2 linked regions of the Rattus norvegicus genome follow. The protein of the gene in region 1 binds, or shares a complex with, the protein of each later gene. Links are inferred from orthologs where the notes say so. Each region holds a gene or a part of one and is shown on either strand. Other genes may lie near its edges.

Region 1 (3,913 bases):
TCAGTGGTAGAGCGCTTGCCTAGGAAGCGCAAGGCCCTGGGTTCGGTCCCCAGCTCCGAAAAAAAAAAAAACCAAAAAAAAAAAAAAAAAGAATGGGGGCAGTGGAGTGTGGAGGTGTGGGGTGAAGACAGTACTAAAGGTTCCTACGTGGTGGAGGGAGATGACTAAATCCCTTATAATGTTCTCTGACCGCCATACAGTCTAAGAGGGGAGGGGGGTGAGGAGGAGGAAGAGAGCAGGAGAAGGAAGAGAGGAGGAGGAGGGGGAGGGGAAAGGCGGAGGGGGAAGGAGGAGGAAGAGAAATATGAATGATGACTAGTGGGTGGTACTGGGGGAGGCGACACCCAGAGTAAAGTGCCTGCCACACAAGCATGAGGACCAGAGTTCAAATTCTTGTTCCTGACACCTCCCTACCCCGTACCCTCTCGTAACGTTAATGGGGAATAGGGAGTGTCTCTAGTCTTCTAAGGGTTCTCAAGGAGCCTCTGATCCTATGAAAGGCTGGTCCAGATGGTAAATGCCTGTCTCCAGACTCTGGATGGAGCCGGGATGGGATAGAAGTCCGTGGGGACACGTGAGTGGCACGCATGGATGAGAGGATGGGATGCTGCCCCTATTCGTGGGAATTTCCTTCTCAAGAAAGAGAAACTGAGTAGGGAACTCATTTCCTTGAATCGCCTCCTGGCCCTTCAACTGTGGTCTTTCCCGTTTTCTGAGTTTGCGGTGATGCTGGGGACTTCCTTAGACCTCTCTGGAGAGGCTTTCGGTTCTGCAGAGATTCCCGGGGGTATTGGGGTGGTGGGGAACCAAGAGCGTGGCGCTCCCATGTTCCTAAGTAATCCTTCTCCCCTCTGCTCCCTTGCAATCAAGAGAGTCTTTAGCCCTGCTGTAGGTGGCTTTTGAGGTCCTGGTGGAGTGGGGTGGAAAAAGGGCTCCTTTTGAGACCACTCCTCGTTCTGCCACCTTGGTGCCCATCCCTTAAACTCCTGTGGGCAATTAGACTCCCGGGAAGGTCCTGGGGAAATCCCTGCTCAGTGACTAGCCAAAGATCCACCGCGATTGGTTCCCGAAGACCCCGCCCCCTTCCTGGGCGGGACTCCTAGAAAGGACTCTGAAGTGACTTGTGGCCTCGTTGGGACCCCTGTGATCTGGCTGCTCTGATCTCGCTCTGCAATGCTGCCTTTGCCTCAGCTGTGCGCGCTCTGGGGCTGCTTGTTGACAGCGGTGAGTGGTTTCTGTTCTAACCTCCTAGGGGAGTTAGGTCTTTGAGAGTGAGAGATGGAAAGAGGCGACAAGACTTCGGAGATGAGCGATCTTCCTAGTTGATTTGGGAAAAGCGGGAAGCGGTGAATAGGATGGGCAAGATCTCTCGGGTCTTGACTAGAAAAAAAAATGAGGTAGACTACCCCACTTTCCGCCTAGAAGGTTGGGTTTCTGCTCCACACAGTCCACAGAGGGCGCTTAGGGAGGGCGTTCCTACACAGCGGTGCCCGGACTGCTTTATTTGATCCAAGCCTGGGCTCAGGAGCTGGCCACAGAGACTGGAAAGGGTTAGCAGACAGGAAAGCCTGGTTAGGGGAAGGGGCGGGTCTGGCCTGTTTCCTGTCACTTTCCCATTGTGGACAGATGTCTGCCACCAGTGGTTATCTTCTGCTTGCCAGTAAGGGCCACTTTCAACTAGAGAATCTTGTGGGAACAAGCCCCCAGGTACCTTTTCGGTAAGAAGTAATTTAATAACGACCATACCTGTATCCTAGTCAAGCCAATCTAGAGAAATCGCCAAGTTTGTGTCTCTGCCTCTTGAACTTAAGATAGTACAGGAGACACTGGGACAATAAGGAGGAAGGGGGGAGGATGCAGAGGAGGAGGGAGAGGAGGAGGAATAGCTTTAGAACCCAAGAAGAGAGAAAGAGACCAGACTGGGTTTCTCCAGGCACCAGAAGGGCTCAGACCCAGTCAAGCAATCAAGCACGTCTCGGGGATTTTCAGTCAGCACTCGATTCACTTTTGGTTTAAATGTGTTTCTGCAGTTCCTCATTCTGGAGTCTGGGAATCCCCTGATTACCTGAGTCTCATCCCCTCTCCTCTGTTGAGGCTCCCCTGGCTTTCTAGCACAGTAGATTCTTTTTGGTTGGAGACAGAGACTTGGGTTATTTCATGGGCTTTGAATTGTCTATGCAGGAAGTCGTCCTGTTTCAGGCCTGGTTTACTGCAGCTGGGATAGTCAGTGACCTAAGCGCATACTTGTCAATCCTCCAAGGTCGCCTATCCCGGGTTGGCCTCAAACTCCTGATCTAGTCGAGAATGACTTTTAGTTTTTCTTGTTTCTGTTCATGCGCGGGTTGTGTGTTTGCATGCATTTGTGTGGGAACACATGTGTGCTTGCATGTGGTGGCCTGAAGTTCATACTGTGAGTCATTCTTGGACACTCTCCCCCCCTTACTCATCGGGACAGGGTCTCGATCAAACCTAGAGCTCCCCATATGGTAAATCTCACTAGTCAGCCTGCACTGGGGATCCCCTGCTTCTGCTTCCTGAAGCTGGAGTTATTGGGGGGGGGCACTGCAAAGGCCTGGTGTTGCACATGTTTCTGGAGATCTGAATTCTGGCCCACACATTCACATGGCAAACACCTTACGAGCTCAGCCATCTCTCCTGTCCTTGAATCTCTGATCCGCCTGCCTCCACCTCCCCAGTGCTGGGACTACGGGCATGCACCACCATGCCCAGTTTTATGTGGCACTTACAATGGAACCTAGGCCTTCTTGTATGCTGGGCAGTCACTGTATCAACTGAGCTACATCCCCGGCCAGAGTAGACTCTGGCGTGTGGTCTGCCGAGGATTGATGTGGAGGTCGCCAACAGGAGAGGAACAAAAGTGAGAGACTCGCTTTCCTGGCTTTTACTTTTACCCTAAGCCAGTGGTTCTCAACCTGTGAGTCGTGACCCGGGGTGGAGTCTGAAGGACCCTTTCACAGAGGTCTTCTAATACTATCAGAAAACACCGATATTTGCATTATGGTCCAGGGCAGTAACAAAGTAACAATTATGAAGTAGCAATAAAAATAATTTTACAGTCCAGGGTCACCAGGACTTGAGGAACTGTGAAGGGCCACACCGTTAGCATGGTTGAGAAGCATTGCTCTAAGCAATGACTTTTAGGGAGACAGGATTCGGGAAGAGGGTGGAGTGCGTGAGAGAGAAGTGGATGAGGGCCTTTGGGAAGGATGGAGGAAGGAACAGGGGTGCGATGAAGGGGAGTCTGGACCACCTGAGAGCACAGTCTGCCCTCATAAGCCCCAATCTGGGCTCCAGGGAGGGGCTGGGCCCTGACAGAAATAACAGGTGCTCTTTACTGAGATCTTCCTGTGCATGGGGCTGTGAGCGAGACTGTGTATCGCCTTCATTTGAGTTCTCGCAACGTCTCTGTTACACAGATGACCAAACTGAGGCTCAGAAAGGGGAGGGGTTTTACCCAGTCTCTCGACGTCGATATGAATCTATGCCTGCCTGACTTCTGAGTTTGCCACTCACATGCAAGGGGTCTCCAAGCTGTGACCCTGAGACCTTTTGTGGGGGAAGGACCATTGCTTCAGGGCATGGAAGCTAGGGCTGACAAGCCATCAGAGGGAAGGTGTCTTTTTCAAAGATGCTATCGAGGATGTCCGCTGTTCTAGAAGGAGGGTAGGAAGTCTCCGGGAGTGCTTCCTGGGGATGATGCCCTGTAAGGGGCAGGCGCTGTCAGGGGCCTTTCATTAAGTGACTTACTGAGTGAGAGATCTCAATTTCCTGGATTCTGGACGGTCAGACAGTCACTAGGGTGCAGGACATCCAAGGAGACACCCAGCATCTATGTGTGTTGATTAAAGCTGCCATTTTTTCTGAGCACTGCCTTGGTAGGCTGCCAGGCCAT
Region 2 (3,913 bases), on another chromosome or scaffold:
ACATTCTAGCTTAATTTAAAAAACTTAAAAACCAGTGGCATATTTGAACTGAAGTCTGATCCCAGTAAGTGACTTAGGAATGAGCTTTTAGAATCTTCTTCCATACAGGAGAATGCATATTAAGTTCCGAAATAAGTAAGGTCTGAAGAGGACAATGAAGTTGGCTTGGCGGGTAAAGGCCAAGCCTAAAGGTGTGAGTTCAACCTGCAGGACTCACACAGTGGAAGGAAAGACGTGAGACTCGCAAGTTGTCCTGTGACTTCCATGTGTGTCATGAATTTACAGACGAAGTAAGCTCCTGAGCTCTTTACTCTGTTAACTGATTATATATTTTCTGTACATGGAATGAAAACCTTTTTGGTTGCACATGTCCAACTCAGCCCTGCTCTGCTTTTTAGCCTAAGGCTTTGTGTTCGTTTCTTTCTTTTTGTATATACACATTTCCACACCTACACATATGCGTGTGCATGTATATATGTGCACAAGCATGTTTATATACAACACATTTTGATAATGTCTCACTCTGTAGACCAAGCTGGCCTGGAAGTTTTTCCTTTGACTTTGGCCTCTTGGGCACTGAGATCGAAGCTGTGACCACTATCCCGGCTTACAGTTTAAACCTTTGCAGGGTCAGAACTCAGTTTGCACAACTGGGAAATGTACTAAAACTTCTCGGTGAAATCCGCCAGGCACTGAGCACCTTACCTTGACAAGGTCTTCAAATTGCCTTCTCATCTCCTCACAGTTGAGCAAGGATAAGGACCCTTCTCCTTTGTTGCACCTCTTTAGCTTTTTTACGAATACAAAATCCTCGTGAAGGCTTGCTTCCTCCTCTACCTGTTTTGAAAGAAAGGCTGATGAGAACCATAATGAAGAAGAATGCAGCTAATCACGCCTGCCTTCACACTCGCTTCCACGGCACTGACAGAGGGGGAATGGGGGAATATTAGAAGTTATTGTGCTGGATTCCTGCTGTTCGGTACTTGCCATTTAAGCAGCTAAAAAGCCGGTGATTCTGATGTCATATTACCTGTGCGTCTGGATAGAAATCACAGCTATTCTAATGACTTTTTCATCTCAGCCTACCACAACAGCAATGTCCTATAACTGTCATTTTTCCCCGCCAGCCATAAAGTAGTTTGCTGCTGAGTAGTTTTCCCTTTTCATGGTAGTGTTTATAACGTGGCCCAGTACAAAGGAGTTCGCTCACAGCATGAATTTATAGTTACACCTCTCATTTCTTCAGAACTTGTAGAAAGCATTTGCATTTTAAAAAAAATTATCTCTCCTCAACAAAGTGAATGCGATACTTTGTTTTTAAATACTTGAGTAATTTAATATATGCCATTAACTCATGTTGTCAACGAATTCCATACAACGTCTTCGTGTCTTAAGTGCAGATTCTTAACTTTCCAAACAAGAACCAATCTGGGTATAGTAGGACATGTGTAAACTCTATACTTGTAGGATGAGGCAGGAGTGTGCCTGTGAGTTAAAAGCCAGTCTGGTATATGTACTGAGCTCCAGACCCTTCTGAACTACAGCACGAAACTGTCATTTAAAGTTCACTTAAATATTACAGCACATTTGAGTCTGTGTGGGCTACAAGTTCCCCATTATCCTCAAGGCCTATCTCTATACAGGCATTTGATGAAGCCCAGCAGGTCACAGATGAATAAACGAACAATCAGATACCCAACTTGTCTCTTTGTTCCTCTGTGAAATCCAGTTGAGCAGGCAAGCAGATTATCTCCACTCTCATTACCGTCGCTACCTCTTCTTATATTGATAGAAACTTTAGGGCCTTCATTTAGGCCCTCATCTCAAAAAACGGGCAGCCAGTGCCCCAGAGAGAAGACTGCTACCCATTTGTTGGTACCTAGCCACTGTCACTTCCAGCCTTGTAGGAACAACTAGATACTTGGTTGCTTTTCTCCTAGTCATCTGTGATTAGCATTTCATAACATAGCCCATATGCCCCTCAGTGGATATGAACCAGCACAAGGGAGCAGGGTAAATCCTGAAGTTACTTTTCTTAAATTGTCTGCACCCTTCTTGTCCTCTCTTGTCTTTATCTATCCAATCATTTAAGCACGTAAAATACCTCAGAGGAGTACAGAGCAGTTTACAATGGCAGTTGGCATTGAAGAGTGGGACAGACTGCACCATTCTGACTTTAAAAATTGGCAGATTGGGGGCATTGTCCGTGTCTGTACTAATTCAAAACACAGTGGAAATTCAGATCAAATCAATGCTCTTTTTCTCTGGCTCACTTTTAAAAGTTGTCCTCGTGGGGCTCATTTAAAGTTATCTTTGTGGGAGAAAATAGTTTACTAAGGAAGCACCTTTTAGGAACTAACTGCTGCTGGTGGTCCAGCATGTACTACCCTGGGCCAGGCACTATTCTTTTCGGGGCTAGAATCTTTTGCTCTGTGGCATGGGCACTAAGTCTACCTCTATTTCCCTGATACAGAAAAAGCAATGGAAGTATGAAGTGACGTGTCCAGAATCTCAATGCAGTTAAAAGCCAAACTAAAATTCGAAGCCAGGCTGACTGATTTCAGATTCTGAGATCTAGGCAACAAGTAACATGCCACAAGAATATAATCCACTTAAAGGGTTTACTGTTCTCCATCATTTGGGTAGAACTTAGCTCAACCTATCCACAAATTAGTAAGAACCCCCCAATTTAGTTCATTCAGATTTGTAGATCACCTTACCTTATCCAATCTTCTATGAAGATACACAGCAAAAAGCACCGACCCAATCATCTGGGTGATAAGAAAAACAGTAAGTAAATACATAAAAATCTTCATGCTCGCTGGAAGCCCAGTAGCCACAGATCTGGGAGAAGGTTGGCTGTATGTTTCTATCATGCTGGCTGAAAGCTGAAATGGTGTCTTCTGACCAAGAAGGTGGCAGAGGCAGCATGAGAAGACTGTCAAAGTGGCCACCTTACTCAGGATTAGTTAAGAGCGCACAATCGTCGCAACCCACACTTCCTGGAAAATGTGCTTCGTAGTCTTCTGTCCCAGCAAAAAAGTTACGTAAAGGTTTTTTCTTTTCTTTTTTTAAAATTACACCCATATCATCCACTTCCAGGCTTTCCCTTTTGTTAGTAAAGAAGAAACGAGTTTCTTCTTCCATACATTCATTCTTGCCTTGAAATGTCAGACTTCTTAAAAGACAATGGCAGTATTTTCCTATTGCTGTCTAAATGTTGGGGTTCACCAGTTTCAAGGAAAGTGACAAATGAGTCCACAAGTAATAAACTTATTTCAATTTCAATCTTACTAACATAAATCTGGAACCTGGTATAAAGGTAAAGAAATAGACAGATGTTAGCAAAAATAAGGATTGATTTCACACCTGGTGTGCTGCCTGTTAATTGCTTCTCAAGACTTTGATTCTTTAATCTCTAAACTCAATAAAATCTTCCTAGCTTTGCTAGTCAAAACTACATATCATAAAGCAAAAAACATAGGGCTCTGCATTTATTAAATAAGATGTAGCTAGAAAGAGAATTTGTGTAAAAAAAAAACAGACAAAAAAAAAAACCTTTGCTGAAAAGCAAATCTAGCTACAGTGTTTGGGAAATGAGACAAAAGCTTGGGGAGTGGAGCTAAAGGAGAATGATAAGCCTGACTTGGCCGCATTCCCTGTCTCCACAGTCATATGCTACTGATGTGTGGCTTCGGCTGAGAAACTGGACTCTAGTCCTTGCTGTGCTAATAAGTTCCTATGGACCCTGAGTGATTCACTTTGCCTCTCTAGGTCCCCTACACAAAGGGCAGCCACCTGTCTTGCCTAACCCATTGGTTTTGGTGAAGACAGAATAAAGATTTTAAGAAAAAGACTTTGGAGGCATCTTATACAATATACAGTTATCCCTATTTTTAATAGTTTTCATAGC

What was found.
Region 2: the proteins of Cd40 (region 1) and Cd40lg are in contact, whole or in part, in a crystal structure (PDB 3QD6), measured with the Homo sapiens proteins. The link is inferred for Rattus norvegicus from reciprocal best matches to the Homo sapiens genes CD40 and CD40LG. Residues at the interface, in NP_001241.1 of Homo sapiens: Glu64, Ser65, Glu66, His76, Cys77, Gln79, Tyr82, Asp84, Asn86, Leu87, Trp109, Cys119; in NP_000065.1 of Homo sapiens: Ile127, Glu129, Ala130, Lys143, Gly144, Tyr145, Tyr146, Cys178, Pro217, Cys218, Gln220, Ser245, Gln246, Ser248, His249, Gly250, Thr251, Gly252.

What each region holds. Positions count from the first base shown.
Region 1 is NC_086021.1:174,208,614-174,212,526, forward strand, and holds the start of Cd40 (tumor necrosis factor receptor superfamily member 5 precursor), read left to right. Parts: upstream 1-1,148; 5' UTR 1,149-1,173; coding exon 1,174-1,224; intron 1,225-1,310; exon of another isoform or gene 1,311-1,718; intron 1,719-3,913.
Region 2 is NC_086039.1:140,163,371-140,167,283, reverse strand, and holds the start of Cd40lg (CD40 ligand), read right to left. Parts: upstream 2,944-3,913; 5' UTR 2,877-2,943; coding exon 2,721-2,876; intron 838-2,720; coding exon 706-837; intron 1-705. UniProt on the Homo sapiens protein: Cytokine that acts as a ligand to CD40/TNFRSF5. Costimulates T-cell proliferation and cytokine production.